4 linked regions of the Rattus norvegicus genome follow. The protein of the gene in region 4 interacts with the protein of the main gene of each other region in a pairwise test. Links are inferred from orthologs where the notes say so. Each region holds a gene or a part of one and is shown on either strand. Other genes may lie near its edges.

The links. The genes of interacting proteins can lie anywhere in the genome.
Region 1: the proteins of Ywhaz (region 4) and Ube3a interact in a two-hybrid assay, tested with the Homo sapiens proteins (2 studies listed by BioGRID and IntAct, with this or other methods). The link is inferred for Rattus norvegicus from reciprocal best matches to the Homo sapiens genes YWHAZ and UBE3A.
Region 2: the proteins of Ywhaz (region 4) and Itprid2 interact in a two-hybrid assay, tested with the Homo sapiens proteins (2 studies listed by BioGRID and IntAct). The link is inferred for Rattus norvegicus from reciprocal best matches to the Homo sapiens genes YWHAZ and ITPRID2.
Region 3: the proteins of Ywhaz (region 4) and Yap1 interact in binary tests that used the Homo sapiens proteins (3 or more experiments, as listed by UniProt). The link is inferred for Rattus norvegicus from reciprocal best matches to the Homo sapiens genes YWHAZ and YAP1.

The regions. Positions count from the first base shown.
Region 1 is NC_086019.1:119,260,542-119,265,863, forward strand, and holds part of Ube3a (ubiquitin-protein ligase E3A), read left to right. Parts: intron 1-1,445; exon of another isoform or gene 1,446-1,637; intron 1,638-2,166; coding exon 2,167-3,413; intron 3,414-5,322. UniProt on the Homo sapiens protein: E3 ubiquitin-protein ligase which accepts ubiquitin from an E2 ubiquitin-conjugating enzyme in the form of a thioester and transfers it to its substrates.
Region 2 is NC_086021.1:84,949,026-84,954,347, forward strand, and holds part of Itprid2 (protein ITPRID2), read left to right. Parts: intron 1-1,091; coding exon 1,092-1,131; intron 1,132-1,218; coding exon 1,219-1,317; intron 1,318-2,219; coding exon 2,220-2,428; intron 2,429-3,256; coding exon 3,257-3,960; intron 3,961-5,322.
Region 3 is NC_086026.1:13,382,029-13,386,543, reverse strand, and holds part of Yap1 (transcriptional coactivator YAP1 2), read left to right. Parts: intron 1-1,866; coding exon 1,867-1,979; intron 1,980-3,229; coding exon 3,230-3,465; 3' UTR 3,466-4,515. UniProt on the Homo sapiens protein: Transcriptional regulator with dual roles as a coactivator and corepressor. Critical downstream regulatory target in the Hippo signaling pathway, crucial for organ size control and tumor suppression by restricting proliferation and promoting apoptosis.
Region 4 is NC_086025.1:69,828,195-69,832,915, reverse strand, and holds part of Ywhaz (14-3-3 protein zeta/delta), read left to right. Parts: intron 1-1,994; coding exon 1,995-2,118; intron 2,119-2,730; coding exon 2,731-2,894; intron 2,895-2,975; coding exon 2,976-3,071; intron 3,072-4,721.

The DNA of each region.
Region 1 (5,322 bases), on a different chromosome or scaffold from region 4:
TGTTTTAAGAGTGTTTTGGACCTGAGTTTAGTGGCATTGTAGTCCAGATTCTCAGGAAGGACCGTGTTGATTTCCAATATGTCTGTTTATACTATGTGAAGCCATGTCTCAAACAGTTTTCAAAAACACACATATTAAAATGTACAGGTGAATCTTAAAAAATGTTTCTTTACTTACCTGTTTGTTGATAACCAGATTATAACGTTTTTTATTTCTATTGCATTGCTTTACACACACACACACACACACACACACACACACACACACACAGAGAGAGGGGGTGGGGCTGAGGGAGGGAGGGAGGGAAAGAGAGAAAGACAGATAGAGACAGAGATAGACAGAGACAGACAGACAGACAGATGATAGAGATAAACATTTTAAACATTTTAAGTCGAGTACTACCTGGAAAAAGTATTGATTAATAGTAGTTTGTATTCCTAGATGTCAGTGTCATTTGATGAATGTGCTCTGAAAGAAGACATTGCAAGTCAATGGTGTGTGGATCCAGAGTGTTATTCTCCTTCAGGCAGGATGTATATTTATTGTTCTATATGTAGAACATGCACTTTCCAACCAATTTTATAATTTAGTGATAGGGAGATAAAACATTATCTTCTAACAGGCTGTTTATTCATTATAGATAGATTCTGTGTTTTGGTTATAGTTAAGAGAAATGGTCAAAGAAGATACCATAATTTTTTTCCATTAGAATAATGAGAAATCAGCTCCATGTTAGTGTTTTCTTACATTTCTTAGTAGACTAAAGAATTGAACTTGGATTGCCATGCTGCCTCAGCTAGGTACATGTAACTGAGTTTCATGCCTGGGACTCACAGTATAGAAGGAGAAAATGAACTCATTCAGTTATCCATTCAACTCCATAGCTTCATCACCCCTAATAAGTAAATAGAGCATTTTTTGAAACAAAGAATTGAAGATCATAAAATAAGTAAGTGTCAATACTCTAGAACAGTCCATAGATCAGTTTTGTAGTATATACAGTTCAGTGCTTTGTGGTTTATGTTTTGGAAGCCATTCTATTAATGAGGACTTGAATTTTATATTGTCTCTTACTGTTGAATAGGTACCTTTAATAAATGTACCAATCATAGTAAAGATATTTATGTGTTAGACATATTATCAATGTATGGGATATATTGTCAATGTAAATAAAAAAATTAAACTACCTTCAATGTTTAATTTAATAATTCTAGTGTGCTACTCTTTGATGAAAGAGATTAAGTTTGGCTTCAGCATTATTATTTGATAAATATATTAATTTGTAAGACTTTAGTATATAAAATGTCATCTTTTCCCAATTAGATAAAATATCTTTTGTTTTGTTAACGAAATGGTAAAGCCTTTGTTGAAAGTAATTTCCCTAAGCTAGGAGATTTATGGTCCAAATCTGTTCCTGGGAGAAAAATAGATATGAATTTTGGTGCTTGTGGTCTTTACTCTCTTAGCTTCTTCCTTTTATTTGTTTTTGAATGACTGTAATAATTTCTAGTTGCTCTGTTAAGAGTTATTAGAACCCAAATAATGGTCATAGGTAGTAGTAGCTGTAGTAGCAGTTTTAACTTCAGTAGAGTTTACTTGAGTAGTAATATCTTTTTCTCAGCTTCAGAATGAAAACTCTGGAAGAAATGAAGAATACATAACATGAGTCAGTTTGATTTTACGATATACAAAAGTATAGAAAGAGTTGATTGCAAATGAAGGGGTTGAGGAAACCTTGTAAAACCTTGCCTCCTTAGTTTTTTGAGAACAATGTAAAGGAAAATGATTTTAGGTTATTAGCATAGTAGCTTTTCGGTAAGGTTGTAATAAAGTACAGTGATGAAATGATAAATATATATATTTGTTCATATCTACAATAAATGTTACATACCAGTACATGTCTCGGTTACAAGGCAAGTCTTAAATTACCAATGCATAATTAATAATTATATGTTGAATGAGTGCCAAAGAAAGGGTGAGGTTGTTGGGATTACTTAAATAAAAAAGGAGCTGGTGATTTTAGGGTGTTAATAAGTAAATTACATTTTTTTAAAAATTCTAAATCAAATTCAGAATGTTTAGATATTTTATTTGTTCAGTAAAAATTATAACAAAATAAACATGTATATTATAATAATAAATGTTCTTTTTCTTTCCATTTTCTAGAGGTGGACTACCTAACTGAAGAGAAAGTATATGAAATTTATGAATTTTGTAGGGAGAGAGAGGATTACTCCCCTTTAATTCGTGTAATTGGAAGAATATTTTCTAGTGCTGAGGCACTGGTTCAGAGCTTTCGGAAAGTCAAACAGCACACTAAGGAGGAATTGAAATCTCTTCAAGAGAAGGATGAAGACAAGGATGAAGATGAAAAGGAAAAAGCTGCGTGTTCTGCTGCTGCTATGGAAGAAGACTCAGAAGCATCTTCTTCAAGGATGGGTGATAGCTCACAGGGAGACAACAATGTACAAAAATTAGGTCCTGATGATGTGACTGTGGATATTGATGCTATAAGAAGGGTCTACAGCAGTTTGCTCTCTGATGAAAAAATAGAAACTGCCTTCCTGAATGCACTTGTATATCTGTCACCTAACGTGGAATGTGATTTGACATATCATAATGTGTACACTCGAGACCCTAATTATCTCAATTTGTTCATTATTGTAATGGAAAATAGGAATCTCCACAGTCCTGAATATCTGGAAATGGCATTGCCGTTATTTTGCAAAGCTATGAGTAAGCTACCCCTTGCAGCTCAAGGAAAACTGATTAGGCTGTGGTCTAAATACAGTGCTGACCAGATTCGGAGAATGATGGAAACATTTCAGCAACTTATTACCTACAAAGTCATAAGCAATGAATTTAATAGCCGAAATCTAGTGAATGATGATGATGCCATTGTTGCTGCTTCAAAGTGTTTGAAAATGGTTTACTATGCAAATGTAGTGGGAGGGGACGTGGACACAAATCATAATGAGGAAGATGATGAAGAGCCTATACCTGAGTCCAGTGAATTGACACTTCAGGAGCTTCTGGGAGAGGAAAGAAGAAATAAGAAAGGTCCTCGAGTGGATCCACTAGAAACCGAAATTGGCGTTAAAACTCTAGATTGTCGAAAACCACTTATCTCCTTTGAAGAATTCATTAATGAACCACTGAATGATGTTCTAGAAATGGACAAAGATTATACTTTTTTCAAAGTTGAAACAGAGAACAAATTCTCTTTTATGACATGTCCCTTTATATTGAATGCTGTCACAAAGAATCTGGGATTGTATTATGACAATAGAATTCGCATGTACAGTGAAAGAAGAATCACTGTTCTTTACAGCCTAGTTCAAGGACAGCAGTTGAATCCATATTTGAGACTTAAAGTCAGACGTGACCATATTATAGATGATGCACTTGTCCGGGTAAGTTTGACTATTATTTAAAATTGGACTTAAACTAAAAGCTGCAGAGTGTTATATTTCAGTGAATTCTTTAACTTTGAATAAAAAAGATAGAATCATGTTAACATTTCTGATTTATATTACTCCAACTTTGTTGCTACTTACCAAAAATATTGGTATCTTGGTTGTCTAATGATAATTTTCTTTTGAACAAGAATAAATTTTCTAGGGTTGGGGAGATGACTCACTGGATAAACATTTTGTTGTGCAAACATGAGGGCTTACGCTTGGATTTCTTGAACACATGTAAAACAGGATATGATAGTTCCATTTGTAATACTACTTTCTAAAGCAAGATAGAAAGTAGAGACAGAAGAATCCTCAGAAGCTAACCTCATATGTAAACTGAAAAATAACCAGACCCTGTCTCGGTAGAAAGCAAACACTAATACTTGACGTTCTCTGACCTCCACACAAATATTTCCCCCTTTTGGCCTTTACACACACACATATGCATACACATGCATACACATGTGCATACTGACAGGCACAAAACAAACAAAAGGAATGGATTTTCTAAATCTTGAAAGCCAGCCTTACACGTTTCCATTAAGAAGAAAAGATTTGTTTTCAAAGATTGGAACACATGACAAATGGTATTGTTATACCCAATGTTAAGAATGGAAGTAGGTGTAATTGGAAGAAATAATACAATAAATCTGTATTGTAAAAGAATTAAAAACTGCTCATCAAATTCCTTTATGTAGAATACAACTCAGAGTTGTATTGTGAACTTGATGATATGACCAGGAAAGGTTAGTCTATGTTAACTAGTAAGTCTTTGGAGTTCTAAGCCACCCAGTATCTTGTTTGACACTGTAGGATTTTTTTTTAAATAATAATAATAATTATGTGAATTTTAAAACTAATGTAAAATAGCTATTTTTGTGACTTGGAATTAATATTAATAGTGTTAGTTAAATCTATATGATTTAACTGGGAAGTCAGGAACTTCTAACTGCCTGTTTCCCCCCTCCCTCCCCCACCAAATGATATTGCCTCTTGTCTGTTCCTTCTTTCCACAGATGACAAGAATTGCAGAGTCCGTATCAGTTAAACCAGAAAATTGGTTTGGAAATTGCCAGTCATATGTTAACAAAATTATATTTAAGGAATTCAGGGTATTCCTTGGTATTAATTATTCTTGTTAGTGCTAGTTCTTTTTGTTTAACTTGATGTAAGATTTAGTACCAGTTACAAATGAAGCATCATCCTTATATTCTAACAAATTATAACCCATTAATGAATAACTAACATACTAGTTATTTGAACATTTATCTTTGGGGTGGATTTGTCTAAATATGAAAAGCCATAAGATTGGACTAAATCCACATTTAATAGAAAAATTATGCACCTGTCCTTCCTGATTTTTTTTCATTATTTTCTTCTTATATTCTTATATTCTTTTTTTTTTCTGTAATAAAGGTATTGGATTAAGAGCCAGTAAAAGCTTAGATAGTATTAATAAATTTTTTAAATTATCATAATTAGCCCCTTATTTTCCTAATGAATTGTTGGAGTAAAATTAACAGTTAAGCCTTGTAATTATGCTAACAAACTGTTGCTAGTAAATACCATTTAATTATGTCAACTGGTCATATGGTTTGACACATTATAAATTGTGATTCCTTTGATAATATCCATACTTGACTAGTACCAGTTTAAACAAGCCCTGGCTGGCCTTCAGCAATTCTGTGTGTCTGTCTCATTGATAAGCAGTAGAGTTACAAGGAGATGGAATTTATCACAAAAATTCTTAAGAGTTTTCACCGAGCTCTTCTCCTTTCCCCTATCTTGCTTTCTTCTCCCTTTCTCTTTCTCTTTTTTCTCTTTCTGAATCATTTTAAACTGACCCCTCTCAAATGTTTTC
Region 2 (5,322 bases), on a different chromosome or scaffold from region 4:
TGGTGCTGGGGTTGCAGGTGTAAGCCACGACTGAGCCCATTGGTTTTTGTTTGCTTAGTACAATAGGTTATTGATAGCTCTAAGGAAAAAGCTAAATGCTTTTCTTAAATGCTTACAAATTATAAGCTGATGAAGAGTGGATTTATTCACTGGATTTAGTATCCTTGATTCTTCAGATCTTCATTTGCATTTGTAAGATGAGTTATGTATTTAGAACATTCTAGCATCAGAAAGTTTAGACTACATTTTTTTATTAGCTCTGTCATGTTTTTCAAAGAATAATCAAAAACTTGAACTTCCTTATTTGAAGTCAGTGCTCTTAAAAGTCGTGTCAGTCCTTTATGGAGATGCTCATCAGCTCCCCTGTAAGTAATGCATTGGATGCCTTCATATCTGCCTGGGGCCTTTCATGGTAACAAGCGATATCATTGGTAGGAAGTACAAAGAAGCAAAAACTTCTCACAGTTTTGCACATCAGAAACTAAAAAGTCAACTGCTGTCGTAGACATTTTGGTTATTAATCCTATTCATTTTATTTTTCTACAGTCATGATGAAATTAACTAAATATTGGCTACTGTTTGCTTTGACCTTGTTAAAGCTGAGAGGAAGTTTTAAAGGAAACATTACATTGAAAGGTGTAGAGCATTTCACATTACGCACTAAAGGCTGACACTAACTTTAAAAGCACATAAGAAATATGTGAATATTCTGGTTCTCCTTAATGGCACCCAGTCACATTTACTTTTAAGATGTTCCTGATTGACAGCTTTGAAATTTAATAGCACTATATACACTATATACAGACTCCCTCATTACAAGTCTACCTGGTTCCAGAAATTTAATTGATTCTTTATAGATTTTTTTTTAATTTTTAAGCATGCAGATAGAAGTAGTTTTGCATTGCCAGAAAATACAAGCATCCTCCAAAAGTTGCTGGCCTAGTTATTGCCTGGCTGTCCAGTGGGATCAGTAGTGGCTATTTAACAAGCCAACCATGACAATGTAGATAACCTGTCTGCTCCATAACTGTGTCCTTTCCCTCTAACGGCTGTGCTCTCTGTTTGTCTGTCTGTCTGTTTATTACTTGTAGCCAATCACCTACATGAACCTGATGCTCAAGTTGAAAACTGGTATGTATCTGTTTGAGTCTACTCCTTTCTAAAAGTGAAAAAGGATCATAGAAAACCAAGTTTTAAAGTATCGAATTATATTTATAGCAACAATATCTTGGCCAAAGAGAGAAGACTTCAGTTTCATCAGAAAGGGAGAAGTATGAATTCCACTGGGTCTGGGAAAAGCAGTGGTACTGTGTCAAGGTTAGTACTGGTGAAACTGTGACCATATGGTATTGATGATCCTTTCACCTTCTTGTTTTTTATTTGATGCAGAGTGTGAATCAAAAGTCCCCAAGTGTTTCCTAGATCATCAAAACTGACAGGAGCTTCTTATGTCAAAACCAACCGCACCTGTAACTCACCAAGTAGAAGGCAGTAACTGTGTTCATAACAGGACTAGAGTCTTGGAGTAAACTCCATAGTGGAGTAACTGCTACTCATAAGGAACCAGAACTCACTGGAGAGTGGCTTAAGGAACTCTGATGTAGAAAGCGGCAAAAACTTCCACAATTAGTAGTTTAATACTTAAGGCTAGATTTGTTTTCCATGTGTTAAACCAGTCCTCCTCACCTTACTCCTCCTCCTTCCTTCGTGGATGTGGGGAGAGAAGAGCTGGAGGGAAGCTCCCCACTGGCTTTCTGACCCCAGCTTGTCTCCTTCATTGCTCCTGCTAAGATAGTTGCCTCGTATAGGAAAAAAAATAGTGTCTGCAAAGCTTAGGTTTCTCGGCTGGCCCCTCAGTACCTGAGCTGTACCAGCTTCCTGAGATGTTTTTCTTAATCCGTTCTTTCTTTATCATGCCTGGTCTGGATGGCTTTTCTGGAGAATCCTTAAAAAGATAAGGTGAGCAGTCCCTTAGAGGGTCTGCTTCGTTCTTAGGGGTTAGGCCCTCGGGCTTCTGTTTCTGATTTTCCAACACTGGTTTCCTGAGAAAATGTGCCTACGTATCCTTTGTAAGGATTGTGTATCCCATGAGTGCATAGTATCAGGAGATACGGAAAGACATTGTACTGTAAAGCCCAGGAGCCAAGGGAGTGGAAGTGGGGCTGTGGACTGATTGACATGCACACTGAGCGTCTCTATATCTTCTTCATTTGTTGTAGTGTTTCAGAACTGCTGGAGCTTTACGAGGAAGATCCTGAAGAAATTCTATATAATCTTGGATTTGGACGAGATGAACCAGATATTGCTTCTAAAATTCCTTCCAGATTTTTTAATTCGTCATCCTTTGCCAGAGGCATAGACATTAAAGTGTTTTTGAGTGCGCAAATGCAGCGGATGGAAGTGGAGAACCCAAATTACGCTCTGACAAGTAAGGGTCTGACGCTCATGCATTGTTTGAGAGTTTACAACTGGCCAGATGATCCTTGTTTTTGTATCTGACATTTTAACAACAAGGTCAATAATAGGCTAGGTCTTTTACTCATTCTGAATTAATTATTCTAGCTATAGACACTATTCTTTCCTCCTCATCACCAACTCTTCGTAATTTATGTGCAAAACCTGTTGTTTATCTCCAAATTGCATTTGTTCAAGAAAGAAAGAAGTAGGGGAGGGGCTTTGCTAATTTTAAATGAAATCAGTTCATTTCAAGTGCTTTCTGTAAATCTAAAATAACTTGGCCAATTGGATCTTTTTACTCCTGTCTCTGCTTGTTTTTCTGTTAAATAGTGCCTCAAAGCGAGACTCCTCCCAGGTTGTCTATGGATCAACCTTATGTGTGCTTTAAGTCTACTATCCAGCTATACCCCGATGTGTGTTTTCCTAGGAAGGCATTTCCAAGAGTCTTAATGGAGTCCATGACCAAACAGTAAATAATTCATAACTAGTGATCAATAGCTGGTTCTGCTATGTTCAGTACCATCATCAGTTTTTTTCTAATTTTCTAAGGTATTCTAATCTTTACAGTAAAAATCCTCTTCCTCCCTACCCTCTGATTGTTGTGGTTTACATGTTTGCTTAGGAAAAAAAATATGATTTTATAATATTCGGGATCTAAATTCAATTACTAGAGTTCTAAACAGCACGTGTTTACTGTATGTACCTATAACTTAAGCACAGGGTTTGCTTACTCTATGTATATGTAACATACAACATGTATGTATAACATATTCATCTCATTTCTTTTTTCTTTTCATAGGCCGTTTTCGTCAAATTGAAGTCCTCACTACTGTGGCCAATGCATTTTCTTCTCTGTATTCCCAAGTCTCTGGAACCCCATTGCAGAGGATTGGAAGTATGTCCTCAGTGACCTCCACCAAGGAGGCGGCAGACTGCCCTCCTCCCCTGACTCGAAGCAACACTGCAAACCGTCTGATGAAAACACTCTCAAAACTAAACTTGTGTGTTGATAAAACAGAGAAAGCAGAAGGGAGCTCTACCCCCGCTGCTGAGAAAGGAAGGAGTCTAAGTGTTTCACTGTCTGAAGATGGTGGAGGCGGCAAGAGTGACCCAAAGCCTCAGAAGGTTATAAAGAAGAAGGAGTCCTCTTCAATGCTGGCTACGGTTACAGAAGAAGTCTCAGGCAGTTCCTCGACCATCACAGACAGCATTGATGCTGACAGGCTTTCTGATGAAGCAGAGAGTAACATTAGCCACAAGGTGGAAAGTGAAGAAAATGGAGAAGCTCACAGTCAGAATGACGCGCTCCGGCAGTCTGCTGTTACAGATCCTGACTTTGGCCATGACGGGGGCAGCATGTCCAGCCTCTGTGAGCTGGAGAGCAGCAGTGAGCTGAAGAGTGCCCAGGCGTCCTCGAGTGAGAAAGAGCCATGTGCAACCCTGACAATCCCATCCATAAGAAACATAATGGTGCAGCAGAAAGACTCCTTTGAGATGGAAGAGGTAGGCAAAAGATTTCCTGAGCTTATTTTGTAAGTCGAGAGCCAGGAAGGAGGAATGGCTCCAGAAGTGTTTATAGAAAGGGAGGTGACTAACGTTCATAACTGTGGAAACATCCTCCTGTTGACACTCCTGCCTCTGCTTCCAGCTAGAGTTGGTCGCAGAACTGTGCTGTGGAACCCCTCAGGCTCAGCTGCCATCTATCCAATGACATTGTATCTGCAACCATTTTTTCCCCCAAGCTTAAGGCTTTGATAGCAGAGAGCCTTGAGAGTGTATGCAAATTCAAATCATGATTGCCCAGCAGTGGAAGTGCTAAGATCAAGCAGGTTTGCAGTCCAGTCTTCAGGAGCCCCAGTGACCTGGGCGAGGGTGAAGGCAACTTATAATAGATAGATACTAGTGATGTGTGCACCCGAGGGGAAGCGGGGCTTCTGGAAGGCTGCTGAGTGGGGTTTTATAAGTCCAGATAGGCATTTGGTGACTTTATTTTACCCATTGATACTCCTGCTAATTTCCATAAAATCTAAATTCAAGAATGTAAAACTACCTGGGAGGTTCCTTCAGAACTCCTAGGCGAGCATAGGAGCACGTTGATAGACAAGATTCAGCTGTGTGCACCAGGACACTGCACTGTGGGAGGCCTTAGGAGCAATGCGCAAAAATGCTGTCCAGTGTTACACAGGAAGAACTGAGGTATCTGGATTGTGGCTATGCATAATGTAATGTGTAATTTTTCCTATTGAAAATATGGAAGTTGCTTTGGTAACAGTTTGTGTTAGCTCTAGAATCCCGTTTTCTCGGGTTGAAGAGTAAATCATGGTTCCTCAATGTTCTCTTCACTGAGTTTGGGTCAGTCATGCTAGTGATGACTTTTTAACTTATTTCAGTTTGCTGATACGTTATTTATGCTTTTGGTGGCTTCTGGATTTTTTATATGTTAATTATGGCTACAGAGAAAAGTATGGGGGAATAGAAGAAGCTCTCTAGAATACTGTATATTTTCTTGTAGGCTGCTTTTCCCTAAATCTTTTTCCTGTGGTTTATATTTCCAGTCTTTGAATTACTAAAGTGATTTCTGCCTTAGTACAGCGAGTGTGAGAGAGGATTATGATGTGTGCTTGAAAACCCTGGCTCTGTCCTATTGATTTCTGTTGAGTGTTGTTTTGGCCCAGCTAGTCTTAAGGACTGCATGTAAGTTCAGACCTTTCCTGGGCCCCTCCTCTGTGCTCAGTAGATGGAGTAGCGTCCATACTTTAGCCCTGCACCATGGTATACAAATCTATACAGTAGCTGGAAGTTTCATGCTGGTGACTCAGTTTGGACAGCAGTAGGTTGACAGCGTCCTCTCTGTAATTTGTAGGA
Region 3 (4,515 bases), on a different chromosome or scaffold from region 4:
TGTCCTGGGGTACCTACTCACACTGCAATCCCAGCACTTGGGAGGCTGATACAGGAGTTCCAGTTCAGCTGCCAAGTAGTAAGTTCCAGGACAACCTGCTGTATGTAGCTTAAGGCCCTGCCCCAAAATCAATGGAAAGGTATTTTGAAGTCGTATTTACTATATATACTGAGAGAAAGATGCAGACTTTGAATTACTATCTAAACTCAAGTCTATTTACCCACGCTTGTAATTTTAAACTGTAACTAGATAAGGGGCCATACAACAGAATCCCCCAGAGGAAGAATTCCAGAGCTTTTCAAGTATCTCTTTTGTTAAAGGCTTATCTGAGGATAGAATCAGAGTCTCAAAAGCAGGGAAGCAATAGGCAGAGATATGTGACAGCCCTTCAGACCTCTGACCAGCTTTGTGCTAAAGCCTAAGGGTCTCTGAAATTGCAGAATGGAGATGGCCCTTCTCCAGAGCCCTCTGCCCCCTGTGCTGTCCATCTCTGTGCATGTGAGTATACTTCAGACACATCAGAAGAAGCCATCAGACCCCATTACAGATGGTTGTGAGCCACCATGTGGTTGCTGGGAATTGAACTCAGGACCTCTGGAAGAGCAGTCGGTGCTCTTAACCGCTGAGCCATCTCTCCAGCCCCACTTTTTTTTTCTTGAAAAAGTCTCTTGATGTCTGCTCTGCTCAATAGTGAGTCTCAGCACTGCCTCAAGGTCCGAGTCCCACCTGTCTCTGACCTCCCCTCGAAGAAGCGTTGCTGCTGACTTTTCAGGCTTCTTCCTCTTCGCCTTCAAAGCCCTTCTTCCCTCCCTCAGCTGCTGCTGTGGCTACAGCAGCTCAGGGCTGAGGTTCCATGAAGTATGGCTATGTTATATACCAACAGTCTCGGGCAAGTTTGTGTCTTGCATTTGTGTGAGGCTTCTGAATGTTTCAGACTTGTTGGCATAAAGCAACAGTTGTCGTGTAGAGTGATGAGGGAGAGAATGGGCCGAATGCATCAAACAATTCATTAGAAGGTTGGGCTCAAACATACTTGTACTGCTGACCTGGGATCTGGTGGAGGTGTTTTGGTTTTTTAAACAAACACTTTAAATGTCCATCATGTAAGAAAGTCAGTCTACATTTGTGATCAGAAGCCATAAGCGTAGCCGTCGCCCTCAGGATTGGGGGTTATTGGTTTGTTGGTTTCTTTCAGTGTTAGTAGAATTCAGGTTAGAGCCCCTATTATCAGCCATTCTCTTTAGGACGCTTCAAGGTTGTTTTCTGTTGCTCTTGAATCAACCTTGAGGCTTTCCATTCCACCTTACAGTAAAATTGCACGTTGGCTCCTTTCTCCTAAGGGCTCTGCTTTGTCCCTTCTCTTCAGAACCTTGGGCCTCTTGTCTGCGCTGTATTTGGGTGTCCCCTCCCCCAGTGTGACAAGAAAGTCGAGTTGTGGGGATTCTGCCTTCAGTGACTTGGGACTCTTCAGTCACTTCCCTGACTTGCTGTGCGTGGCTATCCCTCGCTAAACTCTGGTGCCTTGGGAGGTGGGAATTGGACATGAGCCTAATGTGGTTTTGACCCCTGGGTTTGGGACTTGAGACCTTGAAGACCCCAAGCTTCAAAATAGGTAATGGGGCTTGTCACTTTTTTTCTCTCAGTTGCCACCAAGCTCAACCTTCAGATACCTCTGTCTTTAGCAGTTGTCACTTTAGTTAGGAGCAGTGTGTCTATCCCATTCTAAGTCAGAGGCTGTTGGGCTCTGAAGAGCACTGCAAGGCCAGGACTACTCACTGTTCTTCTAAGAATCATGGTCTCGCTTAACATGTGTTCACCTTTGCCAAGTTGATGGAATCTTCCTGTGTGTCTTCACTATTTTCACAGTGGCACCTATCACTCTAGAGATGAGAGCACAGACAGTGGCCTCAGCATGAGCAGCTACAGCATCCCTCGGACCCCAGACGACTTCCTGAACAGCGTGGATGAAATGGACACAGGCAAGTACTGATTCACTTTCAGCGTGGGTGGTCATTAGCTGTGTTCCTCCTTCCTTCTTAGTTCCGATTCCACTGGAGCTAGCACAGGCTAGCCTGGATTCAGGCACAGGCTGACACACTGGTTTTTCTTTTCTTTTTGAGATGACTCATGGCCCTCCTGCCCAGCTTCCTCAGTGGCCGGCCAGCTTTTGAGCCTGTTCTGTTTTAACGTGTTAGTTGGGCCTATTAGAAGTTTCTTGTTTTAGATCTGTGTTGTTAATTTTGAGTAATTTTTTTGTGACCCACTGTTTTTCTCTTTCCTCTGAATACTTTGGGTTCAGCTGCGTTGTTAACAGTGTTACGGGGCTGGGAAGCCATATTTGCGGGGAGGGGGCCTAGAGTAAGACTTACTGACTTTATAGTTGAAATAGTTGCACGAGTATTGAGGAGCTAAGACCTCTGCCTTGGGGCTGGAGAGAGCACAGGACAGTGATACATTTTCTCCAAAGTGTGGAAGTCTTCGGAGCTTGACTTTATCTGACACATGAAGGTGAGAACTTGTGCCCTGCTTTCTCTGAGTTCACCTAGGTCAGAAATCTTCTTTAGGAGCCTCTTGGGCCTACTTCATGTCTAGCCCCATCCTGGCCCCTCCCACCCACTCTCATGGCTCACCTCTCTGGCCCCCTTGTACCAGAAAGGCCGATTGTTTTTCTGAATGTAAGTTCTGGCAAAGCTCCAAGGAGGAGTGCTAACATAGATAAAAGTTCTCTAGGCAGGTAAGTGATTTAGAAAGAAGTCTGGGGGGCGAGAGGGCCACTTGCCTTCAAGGACTCCTGGGAATGTTCTTCCTCTATGGCGTGTGTGACTCAGAGTACTGTCTACAGTGCTGAATGTTAGTGTCCCAGAGTACAACGAGAGACAGAAGACGCTCCATCTTAATATGTAAATGACCTAGAAATGGTGGTGCATTCCTAGGAGAAAGAGAGAAGGCATGGTTGTCATTTCTCACTGCTGCATATAGAATTCCAAGGGAGTGAGTGTCAGTTCTTCACAACCCATCAGGTAGCCCTTCGTAGTGCGCAGCCAGGCCATGATCTGTACTGCATGACTGAAGGGCTGAGGCACGTGAAACTTGGCACTGTTACCAAGTGGTCTCTGTGTGTGGTTTTCTAAGGTAGACAGACGCTGGGTGTTTCTGTTTCCCATGGCTGTGCTCACAGGGGCAGCTCTGAAGCTTCTTACAAAACATTTTGTTCCCTCCCCAAAACTAGGAGACACCATCAGCCAGAGCACCCTGCCGTCCCAGCAGAGCCGCTTCCCTGATTACCTGGAGGCCCTCCCTGGGACAAATGTGGACCTTGGCACACTGGAAGGAGATGCAATGAACATAGAAGGGGAGGAGCTGATGCCCAGCCTTCAGGAAGCGCTGAGTTCCGAAATCCTGGATGTGGAGTCTGTGTTGGCTGCCACCAAGTTAGATAAAGAAAGCTTTCTCACGTGGTTATAGAGCTGTCCGGAGCCACTCTCCGGGTCTGTGAAGGATCCACAGAGCCTAAGGTGTGCACTCCTGCATTCAGATAAGCCAGTGGGTGATTCTCTGGCTAACACAGAACAGGTGACCAGTGTCCAGCGGGGATCATCCACTGTTGCTCTGCTCTTCTCTGCCATTGCTGCTCTTAGGTTGCTGACCTCTTCACGGCCACCCCTAAAGAACCAGAACCACAAATAGCCAGAGCCCTTTGTTTCCTTTGCTCTGGCAGCTGTGCTCTCTGGGTTGTGGGGAGCCTGTCGATAACAGATGCCCGGCCTCCTCCACTGGTCTTCACCCATCCTCAACTGAACCCCAGGCTGGGTCTGAAATGCTTTATGCGTCTGTTCAAGACACGGTTTCTTCAGCTGCCTTTGGCCCTTGGGTCCAACAAGCCAGACGCGTGGCATCTGATCTCACGGAAGACCGGAAGATGGCAAAGACCCATGCCGAAGACTGATGGACTTCCTGTTTCTTTTTTTAGTCATACCATTAGGCACATAGTGACCTGGATTTTATCTTAGAAGCTCATGAGGCATGGGACAGTTTCCATAGAAATACATTAATTATGCCACATACTCTAGGTTAGGTTTGAATGGATATTTTCTGTGGGTGTTTTGGTTGGTTTTTCTGTTTTCTTTTCTGTGGTTGGTTTTGGTGGAACGTAGGCAACTTAATGAAGTCATTCATAGCTGTAGCTTGGGGTGGGCAGTACCATTCTTTTGGGGGAAATCTATATTTCTCGACTTTTTAACATCCTATTTAAATCTTGGCTGTCTCCTCTCTACGTATGTACACACTCTTCTGATGTCTGTGGTAGTGTGTAGCAGAGTGTGTCTTGATAAGTGTTTCCTTCGCTCCTAGTTTACTGTTGAAATGGTAGCCTTGAGCATATGCATTTAGACATCTTAGTTATGTTTCACGGATAGTTGAAATTCTGGTTGGGGCAATCTGCAGGTGTTTGAGGAGGGTGGGAGGGAGGGAGGGAAGGAGGGCAGTGTTATAGAAAGGGCTCTGGTTGTGGGTAAA
Region 4 (4,721 bases):
AACTCTTTCCAGTCAAAGCAATCAGCATTATTGTCTACTGTCTTCTTGTTTTCTGTGTGGGCTGTTTTGTTTTTTATGCATGTGGTTACACCATGTACATGCCTGGTGGACAAGGGTGACAAGGGTGGCCAGATTCCCCTAAAACACAAGTTGCAAAAGTTAAGGAGCTGCCATGTGGGTTCTGGGAATTGAGCTTGGGTCCTCTGGAAGAGCTTCCTGACTGCCAAGCTGAGCTCTTGCTATCCTCACTGCTGTTTTGAACATCAGCACTTACTGTCCAAAAATAACAGCTAAACTTCCTTATCAGGAAGCAAGACAAGGCAGGATTCATTGAATCCTTTACTGCTATGTGCTCACAGTTTTTAAATAAAAAAGATTGTATAGTCCTTGGAACTAGGAAGTTACTGTAACCCCTGTGTTGACGGCTTTTTCTGTAAGGAAGATGGGGAGATGCTGCTGTCACTGACATGAGTAGATTCCCAGGCCCCATACATGTGGTGGACCTGTTATAAGTTGAAAGTGACTTTTTCAGATGTTTTTGGCTGCTGTTGGTTTAAATGAAAAACTCATGGTTCTGGAAGCCTGTGATTATCCCCAGAAAATGTGGGTGTGCATCCAACTAGATGGTTTTGTTCATGGGGTCCTTTTAAGAGAGGTTTAGACATTGTGGTTACTTGGTTGGCACTCTGAAAATTAATGAAGTGAGTCACTTCAGTGTTGAGGCTGAGGGATTGCTGTTGGGTCTGTTCCTGCAATCTTCAGTAAGGTGGGGGGGTTGGTTTGGTTTGGTTTTTCAGAGGTCTCTGTAGCTCTGATTGTCCTGACACTTGGCTCTAGCTACACTCACCTGGAGCTCACGAACTGGCTCCTCTGCTTCTCCAGTGCTAGATTAAAGATGTGTGGCCACAGCCCTGCTCAGCGTGGTTTCTAGGAATACAGAAATTACTGATAAAAAGTAGGTTGCTAATTCCCACTAACATTTATCAATACTGCCTAAAGGAGTTTCTGTCATAACTTTAGGTTTTTACATTGCACCCTCCACACACTCAAGTTGATTCTGTGGCTTTGCTGGGCCAGTGCAAGGTCACTGAGACACGTTTCTAGCCCTTTGGGTAGTGTGTTATTGTTGGGGGGGGGTTGTTTTTAGAGGCAGGGTCTCTCCATGAGTAGTACAATCTATGCTTGAACTCAGAATGCTTCTGTGTTGCCTTTAAGTGATGAGATTACAAAGGTGCCCACGCCAGCTGCCAATCATGTACTTTATGAGGGGTGGTCACTCAGTTAACTGTATCTTTATGACCTGTCTACATTCATAGAGTAGGCAGCAGGATTCAAGTGTATTCACTTATGTCCCCCATCATTAGATAATAGATACTCAAATCTTTTCAGAGAATAAAAACCAGAATCTAAGTACTCTTGGAAGAATTGGCTCATCTGGGGTTCAGCCCAGATGAGCAGGAACATCACCTTGATTTCAAAGCAGAGGTATCCAAGGGAGTGGGTATGGTAAGAGACTGGTTTGTTTTTAAATTCACTCAGTTCTACCTTTTTCTCTCCAATGCAGTTACATCATCTACTTGAAATTAGCTATAAAAGGTTGGTTTTATTTGGTGTGTGACAATTCCAGTAAGCTTTAAGTTGTTAATAGTTTTAAGCAAAGCTACAGGATGAAATTTTACCATTTGTGATGATCTGTAGATAAGACCAATTGCTATGCTGAAATTAACAAGTGTTTTTTTTTCATCTGGCCTTTCCCTGCCTTGAGTTGCTTATTGATTTACTACACTTTTGAGACAGCATTGGTTTGCAGTCGAGCTTGGTCCTCATCCACCACAGTCCTCCTGCACCAGCACTCTAGAATGCTGTGCTGTTAGAAAAACTAAGGTTTTGTTTTGAAATCTTTTACAACTGAGTCTATAGTGTTTGCTTAAGAAAAATACTTTACTTTGATTTGTAAGTATTGTCTTAATATTTCTGTTTCTTTTCTTCTGAAGTCTCTTTTGGAAAAGTTCTTGATCCCCAATGCTTCGCAGCCAGAAAGCAAAGTCTTCTATTTGAAAATGAAGGGTGACTACTACCGCTACTTGGCTGAGGTTGCTGCTGGTGATGACAAGAAAGGTGAGCTGGTTTTGCTTGGTTGAGCTTATATACATCTTCTTTTCTGTTATGTTACTTAGAGAACTGAGCACTCTTTCTTTTTGTCTTGTGTTTTTGCCTGTTAGTATTTTGAACTTGAAGCTTTCTGAAAAGCTGTTTGTATAAGAATGTCTCCTCGATGTTAACAGAGGTTAACCTCAGAGTAGAATGAGGAAATCACAAGATGGTGATCAGATGGATGTGTGTATGAGTGTTTGCCTGCATGTGTTTGGGCACATGTGTCCGATACTGTTGTAGGTCAGAGCAGCGCGATTGGATCCCCCGGAATTGCAGTTACAGACTGTTGTAAGCTGTCCCTAGGGTGCTGGGAATCAAACCAGACTGGGAAAAGTAGCCAGTGTTCTTTGCCTCAGAGTTATCATTTCAACTCAGCTCCACTCTGAGTTGCTTTTCTCTTGACAACAGCGAGTGACTAGTGTGATCCAGGACAGCATTGTTTGTTTTAAAGAGTATAATTTGGATAAGACTGTCAGAGCGTATATTTCAGAGGACACATGCAATCTTAAATGAAAAGTTTGGCTTAAGCTGCAGCATAGAATTTGAAAGTCCATTTCACTGTGTTGCATTATCTAGGAATTGTGGACCAGTCACAGCAAGCATACCAAGAAGCATTTGAAATCAGCAAAAAGGAGATGCAGCCGACACACCCCATCAGACTGGGTCTGGCCCTCAACTTCTCTGTGTTCTACTATGAGATCCTGAACTCCCCAGAGAAAGCCTGCTCTCTTGCAAAAACAGTATGTATTTTACCTGTTACTTGGGAATTGGGCAGTGTTCATTATTTGAATTCTAAGGTGTACTTTGTTTTGCATTTGTAGGCTTTTGATGAAGCCATTGCTGAACTTGATACATTAAGTGAAGAGTCGTACAAAGACAGCACGCTAATAATGCAGTTACTGAGAGACAACTTGACAGTGAGTACCTAAGACAGTCTGAAGGGTGTGGCCAGATAACTGAATATAGCGTCCTATCTACTGTTTACAAGCTTACCAAGAAGAAAACTACCTTATTGAGAACATTGCCAGTACTTATGAGAGATAGATACCTTTTGGGCTTAACTTATCCTAAGTTACTCCTTTCTGTTTCAAGTCTTGAGTAGTTTCATTTTTTTCACCCCAGAGTCAGTCATGTGCTTACTCAGCAGAAGTATCCAGGTTTCTTGTGGTGGAGGAAGAATCATGAGTTAGTTACAGGCTAGCCTGGACTACTTAGTGACAAGCTTGCCTAGGCTACATGACAAGATTCTATCTCCAAAAAACAAAAACCCAACAACAAAAAAAGTAAACTTGCTACTATTGGTGTCTAACTTGTCTTTGAAGTTGGTTTTCTTGTCCTTTAGTGTTGTGCATGTTTGGTGGGAACAAGTGCACCCCTTGCTTGCCTGGTCTCTAGCCCAGGGAAAGGTGGGGTTGATGCTCTGCTGTGCTGAAGGTTTGAACATGAACCCCATATATACCATTGTCTTAACCAAACTAAAACAACAGTTCTTGAAAATTCATTTAAATGGTTATTTATTATTTAAATAGGATCCCAATAAAGCCATGCTTATGGTTGGCTTCTTGGGTTTTTCCTTCTTCAGATGAGTAGTAATTTGAAGTTTTGAGGCTTGGGTGAAAAAGTTACCCAGCATTTGCTGTGTTTCGGGGAAAAGGTAGAAATGAGTGTCTCTGGTCTATGGGCTACTTTTCTGTGTGTGTTCAATTTGTCTAAGAGACTTGTCCATTCTTTATGTGTTTTACTTCCTGTTAAAGTCTGTAGCTAAAATTATTTTACTAACTCTAACTGGGGTTGTCTACAAACTTAAGAGACTTAAAAATAAGCAAGGGTTAATATGGAATTGACTTGCTGTGCATGCTGGAGGTGGGATTTGGGCCTTCTATACACTAGGTGAATACCACTGAGCTGCATCCTGCCCAAAGGAAAGAAAAGACGTCAAATATGAAGCACTTGATTCGTTAGCTAATTTCTAATTGTAAGAATATATGGGGGGGGGTGAGTGTAGCTGTTGGAAAAGTGCTTACCTGCGGTGTGTAAGACCTTGATTATGGTCCTCAGTAAGCTAAAAATTTATTTTACTTGCTGAGCATGGTGACACACAGCTGTTATTTTAGTTGGTGGGAAGCTTAGGCAGGAGAAATACAAATTCTAGGCAAAGCAAGAAGAAAACTAGCACTAAGTCTTACATGTTGTCTAGGCTTGCGTTGAAGTGATGAGGTGGTATTTAAAGTAGACCTTAGGCCTAGGTGTGTCACTACTTTTAGGGGCTCCTGATTGAATGCTCCTCTCATCCATTGGAATTATGGGGTGAGTGCAGGAAAGAGTGTCCTAAGCAGAGTGAGAAGGTCAAGGAGCAGCTCTGCCCTGAGCCTTGTTAGACTGCTGTTGACAGCGTGACACCCAGCTGACACAGCCAGTGCCTCACAAGAGACTATCCTGATTGTAGTGTGTAAGGTTTATACACAAAATGTAAAACCATTAAAGGACAAGGAGGGAACAGACAGGAGACTGTTGTCCTATTCGTAAGCACACAGTCTGGAAGAAGATACCTGGCCAGCTATGTGTGA